Linked DNA regions of Styela clava. The protein of the gene in region 3 purifies or fractionates together with the protein of the main gene of each other region. This does not show direct contact. Links are inferred from orthologs where the notes say so. Each region holds a gene or a part of one and is shown on either strand. Other genes may lie near its edges.

Region 1 (7,368 bases), on a different chromosome or scaffold from region 3:
ATCCCAAGTACACGACCTCATCCAGGATGTAATAAATTGGGCAATGCTGAAAAGATTCTGATCATATCAAAAATGGAAGCTTTTTACAGATTAATTGATATCAGTGGCTTCTAGTACATAGCCTTGTTTAAGAGTGAAAGGTGTAATGAAAGCAATGTATTAAAAAATGATATTCAGCAATCTTCTTGTAGGATCTGAGATTTATGGTGAAAAACATGTATTCAAAAGAAGGCACAGAAATTCCTATCACATATTTACGCCCAATTAAAAGTGCCAATGCTTTTCATGTATATCCCTCAACTTTATATTCAATACTTTACCATATTTCTTGGTAGTTCTGAATAGATTCTCTTCACAAGAGCAAGAAAATGTTGGATCTGAAACAATATAATAAAAATTAACAAACAATTTATATCCATGCCTAATCCAAAGTTCCAAACAAGCAAACACAATATCTATATAACAAATGCACAAACTTAAGACAGTCAAGACTACTTTTCATCCCACAGTCAGCTTAGAATTAGAAGTGGATATATTATAGCAGGCATGTTGATTTAATACACTTGATTATGTTATTATTGCAATTAGAGACATCAGGTTCAAATTCCATGTCTATCATTCCAGCTTGGGTTGTCAGAACATTGGGTAGGTTGTGCAGAAACAAAAAATTAGACCCCTTTCGCAAAGTTCATCCATTAGCGATTACTTGAGTAGAGTCTTGTTGAGTGTTTGAATGCAACTTGTACAAAATAACCTCAAAAACTTTGGCCAGTATTCCCAAAATCACACATATCTTGAAAATGGACGAGACTAACAAAAGAGTATTAGGATTAGTAAAATGAAAATTAGCGAAATATCAAAATACAGCTAAAACTTTTACCTCTGGTGCCATTTGTGGTCTGAATTGTTTATGGAGCTCAATCAATATTTTTAAACAAACTTGAACATTTTCTTCATTGTCAACCTGGATTGCAAAAGACAATTTTTAATATTTAAATTCTCAATATGGCTGAAAATTGAATATCAGTGGCTGATTATACATGACCTTGTTCCAAGCAAAATATGTGAATAAGTATCGTATAAAAAACAATTATTTTAATGTACGACATCTTTTCCATCTTTTTTTAAGCAAACACACAAAGCATTACAATGGTTACTTCGTAGTGTGTGTATCAGGTTAGGGTTAGGCCATAATTTTTTTCCGATTTTCCTTATTTTAGTTTTAGTACGAGTTCAGGACCTGTCTGTGTTAGCCAAGTGAGTCTTTCCCTGCCAATATGTTCAGTCCCTTTACGTTACCGTACCGTCCATATTGGTACATAACACTTCAAATATAATTTTTGATTTTTAGGCAAGTTAAGTCAATTTACTTGAGTTAAGTATGAATTACTTGTACATTACCTCAAGTAGTTGGAAGCATAAATTGAGAATCATTTTAACATGAGGTTTCAAATAATCATTTGTTGGAATCCGATGTAGAATGTCAAGAACAAGTTTGCGAAGTTGCTGTAAAAAAAGAACGTTAAATAAAATATCCATTGTAATAATGATAGCCCGATATAAAATAGGTTCGCAATTTTGATAATTATTAAATGTAGAAGTGGGCAAGATTGAAATCTCAGAGATAGATTTGAAAAGCAAGTTGTTTTAAGTAAAATATTTCGATAATCTCTTAGAAATATTTTGGTGCTGTTATATGTATACTAGGTGTCACATTTTTAACTAATTAGATCCAAAACTCAACTTTGTTGGCATCGGAAATTAAAAAAATAGTTAATTACAGCTCCCAGCTCCACCTGTGTTAAATTGGAGGCAACGTAAAACAGTAAAGATTTTCAGGTTATTGTAGAAATAAAAGAGATATTAAAGACTGTTGTTCAGAACTGTAATAAGTGTGAAAATCTAACCTTTGACCTCATATAAATACAAGGTCAATTTCTATTTCCAAATGAATAATTCACCATTATAGTTTTCTAACCTGGCCATGATTTTCCAGTACAAAGCTTGGTTCTCCATCTTGCAATAATTTGACAAATCTTGGAACACAATGATTTAGAAACACTTGATACTGAGGAGAATGTGCAATGTCCTGAAGAATTAATTATTGATAATTAATAATAAATAATGAATACCGAATGAATAATGAAAAAGCATAAATATGGTGGTAATTTAAGTGGATTATTTCAGCAATTACAGTAAAACAGAAAGCATTTATCTGATTTCATTTATATTTAAAAAGTTCAAAAAGGAATGAACAAAAATCTGAATTTCATATTAATATCATTTAAGTAAGTATAAGAGCAGAGTAAAAAAACATCCAAACTTCGATCAAATAACTGCATAGCAATAAAAAATTGTACAAACCTCGAAATGTTCGCTCACTTCTTGAGCAACTTTCAACTTATTTTCATCCTCTGTTAGAAATGAAAACAGCATATAAAACACAAAATATAAAAATACAGAAAACTAAAAATTCAAAACAATATTCATAAAAACAGTAATAGGACCATCTCCAATTCTTATGGGATTAAGATTTACATATAAGACGGCTTAATCACATGGCAAACCACGGAATCTCATCCTGCTGCCAGTCCACGTTGGGTATGGGATTAGATAGCCAGTGGATAGACTTGACGGCAGAGGACCCCTCACCGCCCAGCGATTATTAAAACTACTTTACGGCAGCGAGGTGTCCAGAAATCTTCTCGAATATAATTAACCCCCACTGGATACGACCTGCAAACTCACGGACAGATGGAGGGTCTTAGCATGATGCGCAACACCGCCGAATTCTTGAATTACAGTCTGAAGTAGAAACATTCTTGTAGCAGAAAATGCGCTGATAAAAATCAAAATTTTACTTACGAGCCAGTGGATCATTGAGCAGAGACACATATTCCTTGTATTTGTTTATTTCTTGGTTGATGTCAGATGACACTGAGTGAAGCATGGTTCATGCAACCATATACATACAATGATACAACAGTGACAGACCCACTGTCTTATGCCGTAATTGTATATTTAGTCAATATCTGTATTAAGTGAAAATCAGTGATTTGGTAAATCGGAAAAAAACACTACCTTATAAAACCAATATGTAGGTAGGTATAGGGAGTAACTTAAGGAGCTGGGAAAATCGAAAATAGCTTTTCTCAGCTGTCTCTACTTACAGACTTAATAAAACTCTTACTGTCTTAGTAGAATATAGGATAGGATAGGATTTACATATTTATCCCGGGGGAGTAGAAAGCCGATAAGATGGCTTATCCATATGGCGAACCACGGCCTCTCGTCCGGTTACCATTCCAAGTCGGGTATGGGATTAGTTTTACTGTATTGTTTGTTTTCGGAAGCATGGACTTGGTGGTGGAGGAAGCCGTAACTGACCAGCGGTTACGTGAACCACCCAACGACGGCGAGGAGTCCAGCAATCCTCTCGCACATAACCATCCCTGCATGGGATTTGAACCTGCGAACCCACGCAGAGTAGTTAGAGGTGCGGTGGCGAGCGTATTTCTACTGCTTAGCCCGTTGAGCCACACCGCCGCGCGGATTAGTCAGTTTTTCCTCATTTGTCAGATATTCCTCATTTTAGGCTTTTACATCTTACTTTCATGTGTGCACTGAATTAAAGTAACCCATCTATGTATTCACGAGCCTTTACTACGTTAGCGCAAACTTGAAAAAAAATCTGCACAACTCAGACACACCAACAATTCTATACTACGTGTCTTATTCCGGTTTATACTTACCGGCACCAGGCGCCTTCTCGTCTATTTATTCAAAAAATCGAGAAACAATATAATACTGTGCATATACTACCACATCTATTTGCGCAAATATGACAAAAAACTTGAAGACGTGCGTAAAAAATCTGAAACTGATTTGCTAGGGTTCTGAATTGAAGCAACCTCGCCGTTTTTTGCCTGTCTGCACAATATTTAGTATCGTACTAAGTTTTATTCACGACTTTTGCCACAAGAGGGCTTTTATGTGTAGGTTGAGAGTGTTAATATGTCGTTTTATCCGATTAGGATTGTCCTCATTGTTCTCGCCTTGCATTAATCGAAATAGGTATTAGCTTGAAGTCTGTTAGTATGATTTCATCTTGAGTTTATGAATATTACCTAACTAAAACTGCAAATATCTACTCGGACGACGACACTGCTGATTTTATCAAGTTGGACCCATTGAGGTGAATACACTTCAACGGTTGAACCTGATACAGCATGGACACATTCGACTTTATCATCGCTGGAAGAGACAAATAAGGAAAGAAACTAACATCAACTTATTCACTGATTAAAAGATTTTAAGCTATTTTTCTGTGCACCTTAAGTAGTAATGACAGAACAGTTCATGAAAATTATCCAACACATTTTAGATGCATTGTTGAAAATAATATCATTTTGGGGACCCTAGAGACCATTTGGAAGTGTAAATGTGCCTGCTGTAGGCACTAGATGGAACAAGAAAGCAAGCGATGCTCAAATATATGAACACAAAATCCAAAACAAAGTTCCAATCGTTACGAGTATTATTTATTCTCCGAGTTTTGCGTGGGTTTCGCATCAACTCGGAAACAGCCGTCACGCTTGGTGGATTAAATACCGTAAAAAGAAGAAAAATTCGAACAAAAACATCATAATAGCAGAACGATCCATAGTTCCATTTCAAGTCCGGTAATATTTATCGGGTTGAAAGTTAAATGGCTGCACTGCTGCGGTAAAAATATTATAAAATGTTTTTCTGTGTGATTAACATTAAAGCATGCATTTGGGTACAAACATTAATCTGTAAAATTTACAAATTTAATAACTCTTTCTTGACTCAGTGTTTTTGGCTTTGATATTTCTCAATATTGATTTCAAATAATATTCATTCTATTATGTGCTTGCTTTGTTTTTGTAGATGGGCGAGCATTTGCGCGTGTTCCAATCTCATTCTAGACAGCATTTTATTTGTATTGCATCCTTCTGTATTTTTCTCGTTCGAGCAGCCGAAATATATTATTGTAATATATATATATTTGACCAGAACATGCAAAATGCTTGCGACTAGTCGACAACTGCTGACCACCAACCATATTTCAAAATATTCGAAAATTCGTTTATCATAGACGACAATGAATGAACAGTATCGAATTTATATTTACGCATGCATTTTATGTTTCGCAATACACAATATGTGAAGAAAGCGGAATATTATACAAAAGCAATGAAAAATTAATGGCTTAGTTATACATTTGAAGATACGAAAAGCAACGTTTTATATTCATTTATGTAATAAACTTATTTGTAAATAAGATAACCCATAAGGTCCAGATTTACAGACTTCCAATCCATTTGACCAAAGATCTTCGAAGAATAGTATGATCAAAAGCGATTAGAAGATACCCTTATGGTTAAAACAAAATGGGTCTTCAAAAGTATCCAGAAATAATTAAAAAAGTAGGCTACAAGAAAGGTCAAAAGAAAGATTTATTTTTTTCAATTCATCGTATTGAAAGCTTGAAAACCGTCGTTTTCTCTAAACCGTTTCTTTTGGAAAAAGCTAGATAAAAATATCTGAATCTGAATCTGATAGTCTTAAACTATGATCAAGTTCGTTTGCGTCTTGGTTGGAAACAAAATGGGTGTTCAAAATATATTTAGAAAAGTGAAGGAACAGTAAAATAGAGTTTGTGGTTTTTAATCGAAGGATTGAATGATCGACCATAATAACTGTCAAACCGTCATTTTCGGTCACACCGTTTATTCAAACCGTTTATTTTAGAAACATCTGCCCCCAAATTTTGATTTAATCTCGTTTATTTTCAGTTAAAACGCTGAAATTTCCACATCTGGATTGTCTTTCGCGGCTTGTTCCTGAACCTGATCTTGGTTCGCATCGCTCTCGCTAACGCGAGGACTTCTTTTTGGACTCTCAGGTTTTCCATTTTCAATCTCCAAGTGATTTTCTTGGGTTTCTGGCGTTTCTTGATCTGGAATCTCTTGCTTTGGCGGTTCCTTTGGCGCCTGTCGTTTTTTAACCGGAGTTTGAGTTTCGTTTATTTCTGGTTGTTTCTTAACTTCGCCGTTTTCACGTCGTGGACTTGAATGACCTGACGTTGGATCGATTTTCTTAGACGCAAAGTATTCGGCGAGTTGCGATGGGATTTTTTGCAACAAATTGCGACCGAGTGTATCCATCGATTCCTGTATCAAAAATGTAAAATACGTAAATAATATATATAATCCAATGATTTGAAATAAGTTCTGATGAGAATACTGTATTACTTGAACTCTACAAATATTATAGAGCGGACGAGCGAGGATAAAGCTGTTCAAGATTAAAATTGAAAGATTAGATTTCTGCGAACATCAGCATAGAGTTTAAAAAATTGAGAAATTTTCATGTGCGGTTCAGTTAGCATGTTTCAAAAAATATCTCGCAAATAATATTCCTGCCAGTTGTAGAATTATTTTATATACATTGTTATCAGATAAATTCAGATAAAAAGTCTTTTTATAACTTGCGAATTTTCACCAGAAATACAACAATGAAAGATGTGTCATTTTCAGTACAAAGTTAATGTAAGACATATGCATACATTCCCAACTGGAATGTTTTATTTCTTATTATCAACGCATTTAAAAAGAGCGAAAATGAGGACAATAATGAAATGTTAGTTTGTGACTAGTTTTTGTATATATAATATCACGATGAATGTTTGTATACAGTTTACTTGATACTTATGACGAAAATCCTACTCACAAAATTAAACTTTCGGAATGAGACAATCTGAGTAATATCTCTTGCAGCGCACTCTCCTTCTTGAGTCTTGATATGCTTTGCTCCTTTGCTCATAAACTCCATATCACTGAAGTCTGCATTTCCAATCCCAACAATGACGATTGAAATTGGAAGTTTTGAAGCGCGGACAAGAGCCTTCTTCGTTTCATCCATATCTGTCACCACACCGTCAGTCAAGATAAGGAGAACTTGATACTCCTGTTAAAATTGGAATGGAAGAAAATAAAATATAGTTTTTTACAAAAAATTAACGCACGGGCCACGGCCCCTCTTCAATTGTCAATATAACGAAATAGTCTTGTTCACTTTGGTTACATTATTTTACGAGCCTTGTAATTATTGTACTGCAATCACTAAACCAACTGAAATCTAATGCGAAATGCACGAAAATCGCTCTGAATTGCGAAACATAAAATGCATGCGTTAATAGAAATTCAATACTGTTTATTCATTGGCTTTACTCTCTGTGATATACGAAATTTGAATGTTTTAAAATCTGGTTGGCGGTCAGTAGTCAGTCGAATAGTCCAAGCATTTGTGTATTCTGGTCAATTTTTTACAATATTATATATC
Region 2 (7,459 bases), on a different chromosome or scaffold from region 3:
GGACACTTGACGTTTTTCAAAGCATTTTGGTAGTAAGATGTGTGTCGCAAGGGAATTTCTTTGTTGCTGAATAAAAACTACATTTACCCCTCTATGCATTAGTCCCGCAAACTTAAGAGAATATGCAGAATTAACGGCTCAAAATATGCAAAAGAAAAAAAGTGTCCCAACCTTCCCCACTTTCCCTCTACTGTTTTTATTTTGACAGAAGAAGACGCAACCGCGAGTTATGTTGGGCTGAATTAAATTAATATATAAGCACATTTTAGGTTCTTGTAGTTGTAATGGATTAAGTATTTTACGCGACAGAAAAATCATTTTACGCTGAGAAGGCCGCTCTTTAAACGAGCTCGTAATCGCGGCGACTGTTTCCGACGGGGATGCGAATTTCTCATTTTTAACCAATATGTGATAATTGATGTGATTCTGAATGTACTCAACTAATAGCCTATTGGACGATAACGACAATAATAAAAGCAGCGTGAAAAGTTAACAACAACGAATGAAGTGAAATGCAACAAAAGCATTCCACGTCCTGGCATTCCAAATTTAGTTTTCATCAAAATCCCTGTGCTTTGTGAACTTATACTGTGTAAGTGTAAACAGTATTTTTTATGGAATCTATCATCAAATATCCGTTACATCTGACGTTCGACTGTTCACGTTATCCTCAGCTTCGATCAGTTTTCCATGATAAACTTCACGCAGACCAGCATGATCTGATGCCAAAGTGACTATAGTCAATTTGTCTGATGCGAACTGATTCATATCGTATCGGTACTGTATGGTGGCCCATCGTTGTCACGTGTAAAATTTGAAAAAAAAAAATGATAAAATAAAATGAAAAAGCGAAAATAAAAAAATAGATGTGAAAAAACATAAAAATAATTGAAAAAAAGAAATAAAAAAAAATTGAAATTAAAAAAAAAAAATTGAAAAAAAAAACAAAAAAAATTGAAATTAAAAAAAAAAAATTGAATAAAAAGAAAATAAAAAGGTTGACAACGATGGTCCGCCTCGTGGCCCATCGTTGTGACGCGTTTTTATTTTTGAAAAATTTGATGCTGCTTGGGACCAACGTTGTCAGGCTTAATCCTACACGCACAAATGTGTTTCCTTGGTTTCTAACTCACTACTGATTTTCATGAGCAATATCCAATAAATTCAACATGAAAATGTTCTATAAATTCTCCATACTACAAGTTCAACCACAAGCAATATATTTATAATAATGATAAGAGAATATAGAATTGGATACGAAAATTTGTTTTCACGTGTAGAAGGTAATTTAATTGGAAAATGCTGCTTAACTGCGTAGTTGTCTGGACACTCGTGCGATGCCGGTACGGTACCGTCTGACCGTACCGGTACCCATGCAATCACTCATGAAAGAATGGGAGATACGGATAGTCTCGTAGAATATAGTCTACTGAAACACTCTCTGCGCCTGCCCCATACCGTACAGCCGTAACGTACCGATCCAGACAAATGATAAATCGCCCGTGCTAGATTTGGGATTAGGTTTCATGTTTAGGTAGATATAATTCCCCATGATAAACTTGTATATGGTACATGACTTTGTGAATATAGCGGTAATGGACCTTTCCCCGACCTCTGACCCCCGGAAATTCTTCCTATACTTTACCATTGCAAAATTTTTGGGGCTATTTTAAGAGTGCTTTTGCGAGTTGGTGCCTGTAAAATGGGGTATGTGTTTCTAATCATCATTATAATTCATCGCATACAACAATCTGTTTTTTTAAAGTACCGGTAAAGGATTTCAAGCTAGTCTATTACAGCTATTTCTACACTAATTTTTATTACTGCAATTAAATTAAAACTCCTGGGAAGACAGAGTGATCATTGAATTATCTGATTTATATTCAAGTTTCCGAAACACAACTAAAAACTCACGAATAGAGTTTAAAAACGCGAAAACGAGGTAATGTTTACAACCACGCTTGAAAATCTGTCTGAGTAAGAAAAATGTCTGGGCGGATGCGAAAAGTATAAGTATATAAGTATAAGGGGGCATTGTTACGTCACTTTTTGCAACTTGCTGATTGGCCAATGTCACGAAGTAAACAAGAAAGTCGATACTCGGGGAAAGGTCCATGGCGCCATAAAACCATGGCATGAGACGCCGCGGTTCGTTCGTGGCAGAAACCGCCATGAAGTGGTAAGAACTGCTCGGGCGCACGATGCTCCACACCGCCCACCCCCAACAAGGATTGATAGTTCGCTAGTTGCAGGCAGCCTGGTTTTGTGGTAATTGTCTTTGACAGTTTAAGTAATTTAAGCAGTACCGGTACCGGTATGTCACTACTAGGCTCTCGCCAGGTGCAGCACGACTGTGCTGTACGGAATCGTACCGGTATCATTAATTTATTGAATTCAATGAAACTAATTATTTTGGCGAATGATTGTTTAGTACCGGTACCGGTACCGTACGGGGGTACGGGGGTACCAGTCAGACGGTGTACAGTCCCGGTACATGGTACAGCTGTACAGTACAGTGATAGGTACCGGTACCGGTACCGTACTGTCAGACTGTACGGGGTGAGCGTGGTCTAACCATTTTCGCATATGTTATTCCTAGGCGCGCGCGGCGGTGTGGCTCATCGTGCTAAGTGTTAGGAATACGCTCACCATCACACCTCTGATTACTTTGCGTGGGTTGGCAGGTTCGCAGGTATGATTAGGTGTGTGAGGATTGCTGGACTCCTCCTGCACAATCATGCGATGTTCTTTTTTTCATTTGTAATTTTTATTCTTTGATTGATACCACCACCACCCTATATGCAAATTAAAACAGCGTTTATTGGCGCCTTGGCCGATTATAATATGACAGTATGATGCAATATCGTCCAAATCTCCGTGTATGCTATCAGATTCACAAAATGGATAGGAATTCACCATTTTTATAGATGGATTTTCGTATGCCTCGGTGAAAATTATTGAAGATGCTGTTATAAATAGTCTGAAGTGTTTATATGTACTATATAGCTTTGGAAATATGGTATTTTAAATTTTTCACCCATTCAGAAATTGCCTCATTGTCACGATTTGATTCTTGTCTAACATAAAGTAAAATTAAATTTGAGGAAATTATAATTGGCCCTACGCCCTTCTTATTCTTTCTCTTTTTTTTCACATTTTTTATTCCTATTAAAAAACATTATGATCTGCGAAATTATGTGATGTTCCCGTTTCTTGTTCCTTGTAATTTTTGTTCTTATTTCTGTACTTTTGGGGAATTGATTTCTGAGGCCTCCTAAACGGGCTTAAAACTCAAAAATTTATTATCCTCTTATTGTAATTATGATGCCTGCTTTAGAGTGTCCTGTCCTGGTAGAATCTCTCCTTAGGGGTCGGTTGACCTTTGAATTCTTGTCCATCCTCGTCCGTATATATTTTTATGCCTATTGTTGTTTGCTATGCTTACTGTATTATGTACTTGTATCGGAAATAAATCATTATCTATCGCCGCCGTAGGGTGGTTCACGTAACTGCTGGTCGGTTACGGCTTCCTCCAAGTTCATGCTTCCGAAAAACAAATCACTAATCCCTAACTGACATGGAAATGGTAACCGGACGAGAGGTTGTGGTTCGCCATATGGATAAAGATATGTAAATCCTATCCTAGACCCCACCTTACTACGCCAATGTAAAATCTCGTCATAGAGCCATATTACTGTTACAGGTACCGGTAGGTAAATGCAGAAATGTGTGTCTACTGACAGACATGCCTGAATTCTGAGATTAGTCACAAAAGAGGCCCATACAAAAAGTAGATGGAGGCTGGCACTAGAGAACATAAAGTCTTTGCAATTCCACAGGTCTCCAATTCCAAAAATAGATTTCACATTAAAATACATCACTTATGACAGTGAGTGCAAACCCCTCCTTTACGGGACAGTCTGTGCCTCCATATCGGCAAAATTCACAGCGCAATAAACTAAAAGAAAGTGTGATCTAAAGACGCCACCATCGGATCCATTGGAAAAAAAATAAACCGAATTACAGAATAAAAAAAAAATATTATATCGTTTAAGCGTGCGCGTAACGTTCAAGTGTCTTAGCAAAAAACTCAATTTCGAATATGTGATGGCCGCGATTGATTTAGATTATTTTCGAGACAAGCAGGGCACGATCTGCCATCGTGCCAGACGTCCACGTTTCAGAGATAAATAAGGTTTTTATTTTATTGAACCAAATATCGGGATATCTTGGAATCAGAAATATGTGCCCTACTGAATTCATGTAGTCACCGAGAAAAGAGATGTAGCCTACCTACCCTTTGTTGATGTCACCAACATAAGTAGACAACTCAATACAGACACATAAAATAAAGACTGCCAGGGCTCTCTATCAATCCCTGGCCTTGACATTCCTAATTTGTCTAAATTGTACTCTGGAAAGCGCAGAAATTACTGACTAACAATTTCAAGTTGCAAAAATGACATTTTATATGAAAAAGGTTGAATTCTAAAATATCCAAATTCACAGTCACAATGAAATACTGTTAGTGAATCGACTCTGCAATATTTCATACGTTTTAAGTGACCTGAGAAAATCTCAGATATTGTTTTTATTTCATACACGTTCAGTACGGCACAGTTCTCTGATTCCAAGAATAGCCCCCACATTAAGAGACATCAATTATAACAGTGAATGCAACCCCCTCTTTTATGAGACAATCTGGGCCTTCATATCGGCACAAAAGAGCACACCGGCACCGCACAATAAACTAAAAAGAAGTGCAATCCTCAAAACATCATCATTGGACACCCCGGAAAAAAATAGTTCGATTTATCAAAGGAAATAAATTTTATCAGAATATCACGCACGTTGCTATTGATTTAAATTATCATTGAGACAAGCATGACGTGATCTGCCTGCCGTAGTGTCAAACACCCTCATTCAGATACATATATTGTTATTTTTATTGAATCAAATGTCGGAACATCTTGGAATTTAAGCACTGTGTCCTACATACATTCAATTTCACAATAAATTGAATGGCGAAAATCAGAACATGTCCAGTAAAACAAGGTGTATTGCAACCTTAATTTTTACTATTCATTGATTGGCAATCATGCATCCTAAATAAAATGGTGCATATTTAATAGTTCTAACCTTATCTCTAATTAACAAACCATACTTTTGATATAGTATTGGCATTTGTATAATACAGTAACATTATTGCAATGGACTTGAAAGATTGTTTCTTACAATTTCCTGATGTGAAGCCTGTGGATCATGCTAAAAATTGTCCAAGATACACAAATATCGTTAATCGGCATAAAGATGATGGAGTATCATTGGATGAATTAGATTCTTTACAAATGGAGTTGGAACAACTACTTGCCGCTGCATCACAAAGGATGAGACAATTGAACTCGGAGATTGGCATATTGTCAGACCTACAAGACAATAAAAAAGACAAAAAAGTTTCCAGAGGCAAAGATACTGAGCATAAGCGCTCTCGAATAGTTGAAGATCGTCCAGTCAAAAAGATGAAAACATCAGACTCATCATCTCATATTCATGCTATAAAACCCTTATTTCATTTGAATAGTTCAACGTCATCACCAAGTGGTGCTGGCAGGTCGAAGGCAAAAGGCTCTCGCATTGAAACAGAAACAAATGACGAATTACCCGTTTTACAAAGGAATGCTGAAGTTCCTAATAAGTTTTGGCAAATGGTTGATACATACTGTGGGCCCATACCACAAGAAACAATTTCGCTTTTAGAGAAAATGGAAAAACCAATTTCTGAGGAATATTTTGAAATTCCCCCTCTTGGCAAACATTTCAGTCAAGTTTGGGCAGAAGAAGATTTGGCAATGGAGGAAAAAGAAGGGGGTAGAATTGGAAAAAATAATAGTAATACTGAGTCATCTATTCAGAGGATAATGAAAAAAACAGCAGAAAATTTGAATGATGCAGAACCATGCCCATATGGGTCACTTACCCAGCGATTGGTTTCTGCTTTCGTGCAAGAAAATATAATAGCGCCACTGGATTCTGGTCTTGCCAATGATGGAAAAGCATTTGAAGCTCTTACGAACAATGACCAAAATGTTGCTTCCAAAAATGGCAAGGCATCTAGTTCTCCCCATACCACAAAACTGGAGGCCCGAATAAAGGCTGAACTATATGAACAAGGTCTTATTGATCATTTTTCTGAAAATGATAAAGATGAAGATGAAGTTCTTTTGGAACTGAAACGATGTCAACAAGAATTGAGGGCAATAGGTGATAGAAATAGGACAATTGTTTCACAACTTTTGAAACTTTCCAGAGATGATATGAAAAAACAAGAATTGAGAAAAAATATTGAAATAACAAACATTGAAGTTACTGAACATTACAGAAAGGTTTTTGCTGCTCGACAGAAAAAAAGAAATTTGATGAAAAAGGAAAAAGAAAGTGCATTGAAAGCTATAAAAGAACGAGAAAGTTTGGTCAAACAGTTAGAACAATTGAACTGATTTATATTCAACGCACAGTTACAGATTATAAGTTTGGTTTGAATCTAATTGGACTCGTGGTAAACATACCCATGCACACAACCTCTATCGTGTATGGGGATGTTGAAATATCAATACCGGTAATTAGAATTCAATTAATCTAAATGGTCTATTTTTACAATAACGTGTTTCATATTTTAAACAATCATGACATTTCCCTGACAATGGTAAATTTTTTGAGTAATCTTATATGCATTTTGTTTATCAAAACTAAACATACCATGGTCATTTTGAATAGATGCTGAGTAATTTGGTTTGTCAATTGTTCCTGCAATATCTTGTATCACAACTTACGAGTTGTAGTTTAAAACCCTAATTTGAAAAGACATGAGAACTCATTAATATGATATTATGTGATGTGAGTATGTATTATTTTCTATTACTGTTGTTTCTCTATCTTTGCAAATTACACATTGTTGGAATTTTGAGAAAAATTGACTTTTTTTGGTAAAACAGAAACCTTTTTTTCTTTCCTAATGTTTATTCGTTTATCTTTTTTATACAGCAGAAATTTTGGTAAAAGTTAAATTACATTCGTAACTCTAATTTTTCGACTATGGACGAAATATTATTTCCGAGAGGAAAAGCAAAGCGTGAACCATCGACTTTTAAGAAGAAGGGTGCCAAACGCCAAGCCGCAGTTGATTCTCTGTTTTCAGAAGGAAGCAAGTCATCTACGGGTGGGCATTTTACAAAAGAAAAGAAAAAACCAAAAGAAAAAGATGAAATAATCAAAAGTCATGGTATTAAAGATGTGGATGGATTGTTACAAGGGATGGATGAAATAAATGTGGATTTTTTGCATTGCAAAAGAGTACAAGAGGGAACACTGCTGTTGGGGTGTATTCGTGAGATACAGGAACTGCAACTTGTTGTTGGTATACCTCATTGTAATACTGGTCAAGTACAAGCTAATCATATAT
Region 3 (7,405 bases):
TGGTCTGAAAATGCATGGCCAGTTTTAGTGATATAATCTACTGACCTTTGTGCCCACCCACTAAGGGCCCACAGAATTTCCGTACCCAAGGTGAAGAGACGTTATTATGAGTTGGATTTTCAGTCCCTTGAAGATTAGTCTATTCAGAAATATTAACCGAATAATACACAAATAAATGCTGACATGTGGAATTTTTGGGCATAGTATGGCCAGTATATATATATCTACTGTCTAATTGCAGAATTGTGATGAATAACTTATGCCCAAATGTCCCATAAATTCTGAAATTTACATGTAGCCTACAGATGTATTTGTATATCTATTTATTATTTTGTTTAAACAACTCCCAAGGCTGCAATGGGAATCAAACTCCTAACTCGAACTGTCTTATGCCACCTCATGACCCGAAAGTTTAGTTTTAGCACATCCAACCTAACTCAAAGTCGGCTGCATGACAATTATAGATCGAATATTATTTTCAACAGAGAATTTCAGCCGTTGGTTAATATAGCTGTGAAAATCTCATAAAGTTAGTAGAGTGGTTACTAATGCTCTGTCTCTGAACTGTCTTCACCTGCATATAAAATATGAAATTATCTGACTTAATTCAATTCCTCTTTTGTCCAGCAGTTCAACTCTATCTATTTTGCCTAATTTGAGAAATGGATGATATCAAGGCTGTGATTGCAAATGTCACTGATGTTATCAGATTGAAACATGAAGTTTCAAGTGGTGATGTACATACCCTGGAAGGAATGTATCAAACTGTTATCAATTTGTTGAAAGAGAGCGAAATACAGTTTGACAGTGTAGAACTTTCTGAATCTCAGGCAAAAATATCAGTATATTTTGTGCTACAAAAGTTTATACAGTGTATACAAATTCTGCTTTTAAAACTTGGTAAGGAACTTGAGAATATTGGTAATCTTTCTGAAGGACCATATTTATCAGTCGCAGATGTGGATCATGTGTCTTGCCTATTGCAATTTGTGTTCAAATTTGGCATTGTATCTCATCTTGAACCAAGTATACAAGGAATTATGATTTCAAAAATTTCACATTTCTATACTGAATTTACCCCAAGACAAAAATATGGAATGCTTCTTGAGAATTCCTTATTTATCCATGTTATTTGCAAAGCCATTGAAATCAGAAACATAGTCACCAAGAATTTATTACCTGAGATTATTGCATCTTATATGCAATTATGTTTTTCTCCAAATTCCGCCAGATTAATAGACATGAAAGATCGAAAAAGATGTTTACAAGTTCTTAATGAAATAATAGAATCATGGATTTCAAAAAGCCGTCTTATACAAGAGATTTTTGTACTACAAGGAAACCCAGAAACAAGACTTTCGCCAAAATGGTTGCGAGAGAAATGTGGATCAATATTATCAAGAACATTGCTGGAAAAAGAGGGCATGAAAGCTATTATTTCTGCAGTTGTCGAAAACTCGCGCGATTCTGATTTCAAAACTGCTGGATGGGAGCATATAGTTGCACTTTCTTCAATTATTTCTACCCTTCCTTCGAAGGGTATTCCTGCTAAAAAATATTGTATTTCGATTGGCCATCAAGCGATTGAGTTGATTTCTGATTCGCGAAAAGACAATTCTGAAGCTATGCATGTTGTCAGAAAAGTAGCTGTTACTACTCTGCATGCTCTTTACGAAAAATATCATTCAGAATCGGATATATTGGAAAGTATCATATGTAAACCTTTGTCGGAATGCTGTTTTACAATCGGAAAAGAAAAAATGTTCCATGAAAATGTTTCTTCTGAAGAAATAAATGACTGCATTGAAAACTTACATGATATTTGTATTTCCATCGGAATTGTTCCTGATGTAGCACTTTCTGCACTCATCAAACCCTATTTGAAAATATTCTTTCAGTTGATTTGTGATACAAATGAAACTTCTTCTCATCTAAACTTATTGACTAAAGAACTTTTATGTAAATCCTTAAAATGTTCAGATGACTTGAAAGCAGAGGAAATGTTTTTTTCAATGTACGGGCAAATTAAAAGCACAGAACTTGGGATTAAAACTCCATTGATTAATCTGAAGTTTGAAGTGGATGCAAATGGAAACGTTTGTCCAATAGCTAACAACAAATTTTTTGAACCTTCAGAAGTCTTACAACATCAAGATATTAAAGTAAATGTATTGCTAGACATTTTATCGAATATGGATAATAGCGGATTTATTGGTGTTGTGTTTATTTCACTTTTAAAAATTATTTGCGATCCATCGAAAAATTTTCCAAATGAAATTAATGAGGACAAAATTATAATGACACCTGAAGATCGAGCTGTTCAAGCTTTGAAAAATAACGAGACTCGATTTATTACTTTCGGTTTATTAACGACAATGTGTGAGACATACAATCCGAACACTTTACTTTCTGATGTTTCTCAAATAATTAGCTTTATCAAAACAATGTTGCAAAGTCTGGATAATAATTCACTCGAAATGTTAGGAACTTGTGCCAGTGTATTGGGAATATGTCTAATGAGCGATATGACCTCTGAAGAAAAGAGTGAACTGTTGTCTGTGGTTCCATTGTTGCAAAAAATATGCGGTAATAATAATTTGGATAAACATACAAGAGATTTGTTGTCGGATCTTACAATTGCAATATCAACGTATGGCGCTGTAAATGAAACTTCAATGGATGCATTCTCAGTATTAATGAAAGAACAAATGAAAAAGTTTGAAAATATGGATTTGAGTAAAGAAACCCAACCAAAATGTAATGAAGAAACTACATTGCCATCGCAAGCAGCACCATTGCTTGTTGATACAGATCGGGATACTGTTTTGAATTCTTCTGGCAGGGATCAGTCTTCAAGTAGTGAAGATACCATTAAGAATAGTAGTAAAGAGACTCATTCCACTTCAGTGACTGATTCTATCGCTAATGAAGAAGATTTCAATCTATCATTTTCTCAATCATTAGATGAAGTATTTGACCCCAGTCCTGCCATAAAAGGAGGTTCAATTCGTTATTTGACTAAATGCATTGAAAGAAAACTGCCAATTGCTTTTAAAAAATTGGACAAACTGGTTGAAATTTTTGTAGAATGCTTGGACAACCAGGATTCATTTGTTTATTTATCTGCTGTACAAGCTTTAGCAGTAATCGGGTCTTTGTCTGTAAGCAATATTGCTTCAGAGTCTCTCCTAAAAAAGTTAATCAATATATTTATGAGAGATTCTGAAACCAAAACCCAAAAAAATAATTCAAATAATACCATTGATGCAAAAATGAAAGTGGGTGAAATTATAATGAGAATAATTCGGCATATGGGTGATATGGGACCGTATCACGCTTCTATACTATTACCAGAGTTTCTGAAAGGTTCTAGACATGTTAATCCTGACATGAGAGCAAGTTGTTTATCAAATTTTTCTGAACTTGCACCTATGGCACCATATTATTTATCTCAAATACAACAAGAAATAAATGAGTGTCTCAGCAGTACTGCAAAATCGGATCCTGATCCTATGGTTCGTAGAGCAGCTGTGCATGCTATTCGTAATCTTATAACTAAACTTGGTAGCAATTTTATACAGATATTTTCTAATGTTACAAAACAAATGTATCGAACATTGAAGTTTTTATATGAAAGAGATGAGGATACTGCGGTACAACTACATGCTCAGCTTGCTTTGGAAGAACTAGATAACATAATGCGTGAAACCATTTTTAAGAAGCAAACTTTATCAAAGAAAATTACAGTGTTGCCAATATAACATAAAATTTTTGTTTGTATCGTTATACTTAGCCTATCAGGACTCGGATTCTGGGAAACCGTACACCTGATTCCAAACTCTTATTCATTTAAATATTGGCTCTTGACACCTACTTAACAAAAATGTTACCTGAAGACTCCAGTTTCGAACTCTGATGAAACTAAATTTTGGTACGAAAATTTGGGTTTTGGCAAGACTTATGAATTACGTGTTTACAATGCGGATTTATGCTTTATGAATTTCTGTCTAAAATTTCGATTTTGTTTATCACTATTTTGATTCTGGAAGGTCAACTTCAAAACCAAAAAATTTGATATTTCGACCTTGTCTGCGGTTCCGAGAAGTTTTAACACTGATCCAATTCCAATGCCAAAAACATCCAACTCCAAATCTACATTGCTGCATTGTTCTGCAAATAAGACAAATATCTTAGTCTGCATAAGTATTTTTTACTGATCAGCCATGTTCTTACATGAAAATGATTTTTAATGTGCAATTATTTGTTTATTTTTTACAATTTTTGTAAATGTCCTGATCCTGATGCCTTTGATGATAGATGACACGTTTCCTTAACTTTCCATTTCTTACATTTTATGTTTCCACCTATTTGTAGAATACTGATATAGCCAACATACATGGATAATTCAACTAATGTGAAAGCTGAGACGTCACAAAAGAAATCTTCTCGGCAGTCGTTCGTCCCAAGTGAACTAGCTCGATCTGCCAACCTTGCAAAAATCCAACAACGTAAGGCACAAGTTCGAGGTTATCCACGGGTTAAGAAACTTGAGAAAATTGGTGTTTACTCATCATGTAAGGTTAGTATACATCAGTGCTGATCAATTTTTTTTTAAATGATGTTCATTCAACCTTTCCTTTTAAAGTCTGGTACATCCCATCCATCTTACTATAGGTTGGTAAAAATTATAAGAATTATGTGTGAGAGACTGAGAGGATCACTTGACTACTCATTGTCATAGGTAGCCCCCGGCATGGACTGGTAACCAGACAAGAGGCCGTGGCTTGCAATTTGATTCAGTTGTTGGCTTTCCTACCCTCAGTATAAATATGAAATTTCTATACTGAAACTCTCATTATGGAGAATATAATAGGCTACATGTATACTTTTTATACAGACACAGTTAGTTCGGATTCCATCAGACAATTGTACCAACGCCTATGCTGTGGCATAATACAAAAAGTCTTCCCATCTTTGTGACCACATTCTCTCAAGACCCAACGATAAAAAAATTGGTTCATGCCTCTTTGTGTTTTTTCACATGGGATAGGTTCAAAAATGACTAAGGTTCATTGTGATAAACTACAGCTTTGAAAATCCGATTCTCGGGTTATATTGTGCCATTGCCTAGCGATCCTCATCATATGTCAAATTATTTTAATTGCTTCATTTATTTTGTTCTGACTTTTCAGGATGAAGGATGTAAATGCAACGGTTGGAAAAATCCTTACAATCAATTAGCAACAGCTCAACCTGATGCATCTTCATCACAACAGGTAAGGTGGTAGGTTGGTTTCAAAATTATTAGCATAATCCCTTATTTCTGTTGGGCAATTATTTTCAACTAGACCAAATCTTCCAACTTTTCACAAAATATTGGTGGACTATTGATAATATATTACATTGGAATGGATTTTCATATTGATTCTATGGTGTGATAATTAAAGAAATAAGATTGATGAAAAGGATACTTATTCTGGATGAAGATCGGAATGGCGGGTGATTACTACTCAATCTGCAATTTGCAACCTCCAAGTTTTTGCAGTGTTTGTGAAAAATACTTGTTTTTGATGCCATTACTGATTTGTTTATTCGTTTTTCAGGTTCAAAGCACAGTGACGTTAGAAAGCAAATGCAGGAGTTGTACACATGCTCTGCAGAATCATGTTTCCCATTTGGAAATGAGTGGTATGCATCATTCTTAACAGTTTATGTCATGTGTTTATTTTGTTATGCATTTAGGGATCAAAATCATGATATGTAGGCCTACGGATAATTTACTTCTCTTCCGTCGAAAATTTTAGTTTTGTGAACTTTGAATTGATTTTAAACATTATCTCGTTGGTTAGGTGTAGAAATAAATTATAAGCTTTTAAATATCTCTGCTATCTTCAAATTTTCATTTTTGATTTAATTAAATGATAGATTTTGCTCATTAAATGATTACAATATGATAGAATTTAGTATAGTCCTACTCATATTTATGTCCACATTGATTCATTGAAGAAGATTGCAACTAGGCAATACAATATTCAATGAAATTTTTGTTTTAATACTTTTTCAGGAGAAGATGAAATCAACAGATTATTAGGAATGGTTGTTGATGTTGAAAATCTTTTTCAATGTGTTCAGAAGGAAGAAGATGGTGATTCCAAACAAGTTTATTTCTATTTATTCAGAGTGAGAATCGCAATGTTTTTCTACTGATTATTCTGTACAACCACCAAGTGGCGGCATATTATATATATCAATATTTAAGGAGAGATATTTTTGGAAGGATCTATGTGGTTGAATGTCGCCTAAGCCCTAATACACTCTAATGCAGTGGTTCCCAAACTTTTTGGAGTTGGGATGGGACCCACTATTTATTACCACAGCTTATGGCGACCCACTTAACTCTAATTCAGTTTTTTTTTGTTTTTTTATGATGTAACACAAACACAGCAATGGCTAATCACCGCAAAACTACTGTGTTTCCTCAAAAATAAGACCTGGCCTGAAAATAAGATAATAATTTAAATTTTCAAAATGATTTTATTTAAACCCTACCCTTAAAATAATTTTTAATTTGTGGGGAGAAGAAAGGTTCATTGGCCTGAGGTAAGGTGAAAATCACACCACTATTCAAGATTGTGTAATATCACAATTATGATATTTGTCACTTGATTTTTGTATAGCAAATACAAATAAAAACAATGGATGTCGGTTTTTATATAATGTTTAGTAAAACATCTTGTGATTTTCTACAATATAATTTTTTTTTCAATAAATGAACACAAAAGACCCTTTCCCCAAAAAAACCGTAGTGTTATCCTTCAAAAGAAAATAAATCTAAATTCTGTCTAAATTTCGGGGAAACACGGTAAGAAGTGCTGTGCAGTGTACAAAACTGCTATGCAAAAAAAAAGCCACATGGTCATTCTTTGTGTAGCAAATTTTTGTTCTTTTGAGAAGATCGTAAAAAAGAAACTTTCACAGATTAGAATTTAAATTCAATTTAATTTCTTTTGCTTTTTTAAAGATTTGCGTATTCGAGTCGCCACCGATCCTAATAACCAGCATAATTAACCAATGCTTTCTACATCTTTTCACGACCCACTAAGATTCCGTTTGTGACCCACCAGTGGGTCGCAACCCATAGTTTGGGAATCGCTGCTCTAATGGGTGTGAGATTTGAACACAAGTTGGCGACGGCCATACCGATTTTAAGTTTACCGCTTTAACTGCTAGTCATCGGTCATCACATGCTAATTAAGTAATTATTTAACTGTTGGATACTCAGCTTATTATTTTTGATTATTTTGTTTCAGTTGTTAAGAAAATGCATCATTCAGTCAAGTAAACCAGTGATAGAGGGACCTCTTGGTTCACCACCATTCAACCAACCCAGTATATTCAAAGGAAT
Region 4 (4,849 bases), on a different chromosome or scaffold from region 3:
AAAATATCTTTTCAAATATTAAATGTATACATAATTGTGTCACGTTCAACGAAGAACACATTAGGAGAAAATTTGGAAGTACGCAATAGTAAGGATAAAGAGTATTTAAACATCAAAAGTTTGAGGACTTCCAATACCCAAACGATAATTTTTGGAGAACTGGAAATACTAAATATAATTAATTTGAAAAATGGATTCGGACATCCCTGTTATAAACAAACAAAATCAAAGTATAATAACAAGATAGTACATTTATCACATAAATGAACTTGTAGTTTACAATTGGGAGTCATTCTACAAAAACTAATTTGTTAGTTATTGATACCAGGATGCACAGTCACTAAATCAGAATATAATTTTATTCTCCTAGGCACTCTCACGTTGTAGAATTGGGATTTTCTGATGAGTTTGCAGGCGCACCACATGGCTGGAAACTAAAACAAGATCTCACTCAAGTCTGCAAGTCTCCGAGAATAACTGGAATCAAGTTTAATGCGCCAGAAATTTGAGTACTATTATAATAAAGAATTATTCAACAACAACAGTTTCAGTCACGGGTTCATTCTCTACATCTACAGATTGAGCTTCTTTTATTAATTTTTTCCTTTTTTCAGATGCTTCTTTCTTTTCCTTCTGTTCGGCCTTGAATGCATCAAGACTTTGTTTTAAGCTTGGTATAAAGCCTTCAAAATCCATTTCTTCAACTGCTGATAGGACATCAATGTCTTTCAAAGTTTTACGCTTTTGTTGCATTGCAGAGTTATTAGCACAAGAAGTACAATAAAGAACAAAAACACTGGCTGCTTTTGATATTGCTGCTCTTGCTTCTTTTGAAACGATCACTCCTTCAGGAAGAGCTTCTTTCATGATTCTCGCTATGACTGCATTAGGAAGGTTCAAATCTTCTGGTTTTTCAGCCATTTTTGTTAAATTATTTATAGCGCTATATCCCTGAAAATGGGAAAATTTGTGATCAGTCATTATTAAGTTAACGAAAGATATGGTAAGTTTTTAGTGAAGTCACATAAAAGCATGAAACAGCAAAGCATAATAAGTGCACAAAATATTTGAAGAGCTAACCAGAAAGGGTTGTGCCTGTGGTTTTTATTAAACTTGGAGGAACCCTGTCTTTTATTGTCTAAATTGTATTAACTATAAATATAATAAGAGCGAACGAAATACTGTTAATCAAAATGAACTTTAGTGGAGAAAATAATAGTTGCAAATAGGTAATGTGAACTTGCGTAACCCCCGGGCTGTACTAGGGTTCTGCCAACTTCCGAGGAATCCCGATTAAAAAACCACTGGTCTGTACATGAATACCGTATCTTTCATGTAAAGGAAAAAGCACAGAAATGCACTTTTTATCTTAATTAAGTAATTGTAAATTTGCTTGTAAATAGGTTACAGTACACTACTTGAAAGCCATTTCGAAATTTCCTTTTCAACAACTATAGCAGATTGAACACATCCATCAAAGTTAGAGTGAGTAAAACCATCTCCTGCCAATACCAGCAAAGGTTTATTTCTTGGTACCAAGCATCCATAAGAAGATTCAGTTGCTTTGGTGACTTGAGAATATCTCCATTTGTGATATTTGACATAGGTAGGTTCTGGAAGATCAGGGATAATTTTTTTAAGTTCCTCAATGATGAGTGGGCCAACTTTTTCAGCGTCTTCTTCTAAATGTGATTTTCCAAATGGTGCAGAAGTATGAACAACAATAGATTGAGTTTTCCTTCAAAAATATAAATGCTAGTATTAAAAAGATTAACAAAAAATTGAAGCACAAAAGGATGACACCATAAAAAATAAGTTTACATGATAGTTGAATATAATCAAAGGTAGCATGAAAAACAAGACTTGTTTATGAAGCAAGACAAGAAAATGCATCCCTTGGGAGAAATGCAAATTTTAAATAAATATTGCACTAGAAAAATAGACCCAATCATACTCCAGAAATCATTTCCAAGTTATAAAAAAGATTTCATCACTGGGCCCCGACTTTATAAATTTATGTGTTAACTACATCTCTGAAAAAAATAGTTTGATTTAGTGATTTACGCACATAAAAACAGGGATGGCCAATTCAAATTCAATACTCGAATATCACCACAAAAACACTAAAATATTCCATACAAGATGTTTTTTGGACTTATTAATAAAAGCCATGTCATCCATAATTTAGAAACAATTGTATCACTCGCAGACTCTTGGCAACATCCATCACCGCATAAGCACATGAAAAAGCAATCAGAAATCATATTTTCTCTCACCTTTCGATTCCTCTTTTCTTTTGATCAACAGATATGAAACAGATAACTTCATTATCGACAACAAATTTAGCAACATAGGGGAGATCGATATTATAAGCACCAGGTTCATAGAACAACCCCACTGCAAATCTGGAGGAATAACTTGCCCCTTCAAGATCTGAAATTTGCTGCTTCTGCAAATTGTCTGTAATACCTTCAATTCCTAAAATCTGGGGTATAGGCATTGTCAGAAAAACTGCATCAAAGTGATCATGCTTTCCACTGGTTGTTGCAGCCTCCCATACATTCCAACTTGCTTCTTGGTCATCGCTAGTAAGTCTCAGACTGTCCAGTCTAACGTTAAAACAGGTTTCTACCAAAGATTTGGCAAAAAAATGTTTTGCCATCATATTTAAACCGCCACCACAAGTAAAATTCTCACTTATCCCTTCACGAAAACCATCAATTTTGCCTTCAAGGGGTTTCAGTATTCCAGATTCCAATAATTCATTATAAAAATATTTATGTTGTTCAATATACTTGGTATGCTGTTCAACATATTGGGCACCAAGTTCAGCAGAACAGTCTTCCATTTCAGATGGTCTTGACAAAGACATTCTTCCACCAACTCCGCGAGATTTTTCCCAAACAACAATCTGACATTGAAGTTGTGTTGGAAGGTGCCTTCGTAACATATGAGCACAAAGTGCACCAGTTAAACCTGCCCCAACAATTAATACTCGAACCATGATAATATTTGTATACTGTAATTGATAAAACAATTTGGTGATTACTGTAACTGTAAGTTGGTCAGATGTATATCTTGTAGTTGTATCATAGGGCAAAAGGTGATGATATACAGAGCAAGTATATCAGTATATTGAAGAATAATCTATCACATAATTCTGTCATTTGGTGGACGGATGAATATTAATAATTTAATATTTAAAACATAATGTCAGATGACATAAAGTAAAAAAAAAATGTGAATATGTGAAAAAAATGAACCCACCCCCACTAATATTTGCAAGTGCAGTTTTAAGTATTTTGTTGCGCCTGCAGCTTCCGCAAAACCATGGCGGTTTTTCCATACCATGGCCGCTACGGCCAAACCTATGGCGACTGACTTTTTAGCTGCCACAAACCAATGACAGGTTGCCGTTACCCCGGCAGCAAATTGAAAACCAATGGCAGGTAAAATTTTGCTGCCATAACCACGGCAGGTGGGTCGTAAAGAAAGGGCTGTCCCTTATGGTGAAAAATATTGGGTGAGTTGGAACGTTTTTCTTATGGATACAGTTTTGATGGATTTGGGGTTAGGGTTTGAGTAGATATAATTCCGCATGATCAATTAAAATCTGGTACATTAATTTGTGAATATACCGTTAATACTGATTACTGAAAAGCGCTATAAAACCATTGCAAGAGCTGCCGCGGTTCGTTTGTGGCAGGAGCTGCCATAAAGTGGTAAGAACTGCGCCTCAATATTTGGATACTATTTTTTTTATGGGGCCCATTCATCTTTATCAATGCATTCACCATTAATCGACTAAATCCTAAAAATTTGCAGCATTATCAAACAAAAAATGAAATGAATTATGGATATTAGTCAGGGTGGGAGTAAATGGAAAAGGTCCATTTTTTGAATGCTGCAATTGGGCACTAATGACAATAATTACTATCATACAAGGGCAGATTATTCAAAATATATAGTCCACATATATTTTTTTAATAGTTGCATATTAAATAGCTGAGCATAAGAATCAGACCAAGAGTTAGTATAATAAACTGATATTTAATGAAAAAGCAATGATTTTTAATGAAGCAATAGGCTACATAAATGGGCTATTCCAAGAGACACTACAGGACAATTTCAGAAAATTTTCATGTTGTTAGATGCAATATATTTTTACATTTTCAGCTACATGTTTTGTTTCATTGTCCAATCAGTTGCTTTATTGAATATGGAAAAAAATTCAACAAAAGTTCAACCCAAGAGACACACCCATTCTTAGTGGATATAAAAAATATAGTAAAATATAGTGTGACACTACAGGACGGTAAATCCACCATGCATTAACAGTACATTATGTTGTGCTGTAAATTTTTGCGTTGGTACAGCAGGAGCCCATAATATTTTCTGGTGCAGTAGCTGAAGGACCCCTCTATGTGTTGCTCAATTCCCCTAATGTAACAGTGTAAATCCATGCCAATAATGTGGATATTGTATGTGACACCACAGGACATTTTTCCACTTCGGAACAGCGGCCTCTATCATCTCTCAAAATTATGGTAATAAATCGTTAAAAGGGTGAAGAAATGTCCTACAGCACTGCAACCATTTAAACTTTATTAACTTAAATTCAATGAGTCCATTTAGACCATATGAAATAACTGTATCACACAATCAAAACAGGAATCATCACAAAATATGTCAATTATACCAAAATTTCTACATTTTAGGCCATTTTTAAAACCATCAAAACCTGGGTGAAATTTCAACTTTTTCGGTGAAAGGAATGCAGTTCAATAAAATTCCAATGTCATTTGATTTAAAAAAAATACAAAAAATTACTTTCACTAGACTTAAAAAA

Evidence for each region. The genes of interacting proteins can lie anywhere in the genome.
Region 1: the proteins of histone acetyltransferase KAT2A-like (region 3) and transformation/transcription domain-associated protein-like purify together in Drosophila melanogaster (affinity purification with western blotting; 4 studies listed by BioGRID). This does not show direct contact. The link is inferred for Styela clava from reciprocal best matches to the Drosophila melanogaster genes Gcn5 and Nipped-A.
Region 2: the proteins of histone acetyltransferase KAT2A-like (region 3) and transcriptional adapter 3-like purify together in Drosophila melanogaster (affinity purification with western blotting; 3 studies listed by BioGRID, with this or other methods). This does not show direct contact. The link is inferred for Styela clava from reciprocal best matches to the Drosophila melanogaster genes Gcn5 and Ada3.
Region 4: the proteins of histone acetyltransferase KAT2A-like (region 3) and DNA polymerase epsilon subunit 3-like purify together in Drosophila melanogaster (affinity purification with mass spectrometry; 3 studies listed by BioGRID). This does not show direct contact. The link is inferred for Styela clava from reciprocal best matches to the Drosophila melanogaster genes Gcn5 and Chrac-14.

The regions. Positions count from the first base shown.
Region 1 is NC_135262.1:5,122,425-5,129,792, reverse strand, and holds the start of transformation/transcription domain-associated protein-like, read right to left. Parts: upstream 3,029-7,368; 5' UTR 2,951-3,028; coding exon 2,866-2,950; intron 2,415-2,865; coding exon 2,365-2,414; intron 2,090-2,364; coding exon 1,979-2,089; intron 1,507-1,978; coding exon 1,402-1,506; intron 965-1,401; coding exon 881-964; intron 378-880; coding exon 321-377; intron 1-320. Other genes in the region: copine-3-like, read right to left, coding at 5,820-6,197, 6,757-6,993. UniProt on the Drosophila melanogaster protein: Part of the Tip60 chromatin-remodeling complex which is involved in DNA repair. Upon induction of DNA double-strand breaks, this complex acetylates phosphorylated H2AV in nucleosomes and exchanges it with unmodified H2AV.
Region 2 is NC_135257.1:11,363,281-11,370,739, forward strand, and holds transcriptional adapter 3-like, read left to right. Parts: upstream 1-4,431; 5' UTR 4,432-5,210; coding exon 5,211-6,497; 3' UTR 6,498-6,935; downstream 6,936-7,459. Other genes in the region: protein RRP5 homolog, read left to right, coding at 7,093-7,459.
Region 3 is NC_135256.1:13,953,154-13,960,558, forward strand, and holds the start of histone acetyltransferase KAT2A-like, read left to right. Parts: upstream 1-4,384; 5' UTR 4,385-4,396; coding exon 4,397-4,579; intron 4,580-5,192; coding exon 5,193-5,276; intron 5,277-5,603; coding exon 5,604-5,688; intron 5,689-6,064; coding exon 6,065-6,180; intron 6,181-7,310; coding exon 7,311-7,405. Other genes in the region: transport and Golgi organization protein 6 homolog, read left to right, coding at 663-3,761.
Region 4 is NC_135251.1:20,534,854-20,539,702, reverse strand, and holds DNA polymerase epsilon subunit 3-like, read right to left. Parts: upstream 922-4,849; coding exon 529-921; downstream 1-528. Other genes in the region: renalase-like, read right to left, coding at 1,405-1,738, 2,277-3,004. UniProt on the Drosophila melanogaster protein: Accessory component of the DNA polymerase epsilon complex. Participates in DNA repair and in chromosomal DNA replication. Histone-like protein which promotes nucleosome sliding of ATP-dependent nucleosome remodeling complexes.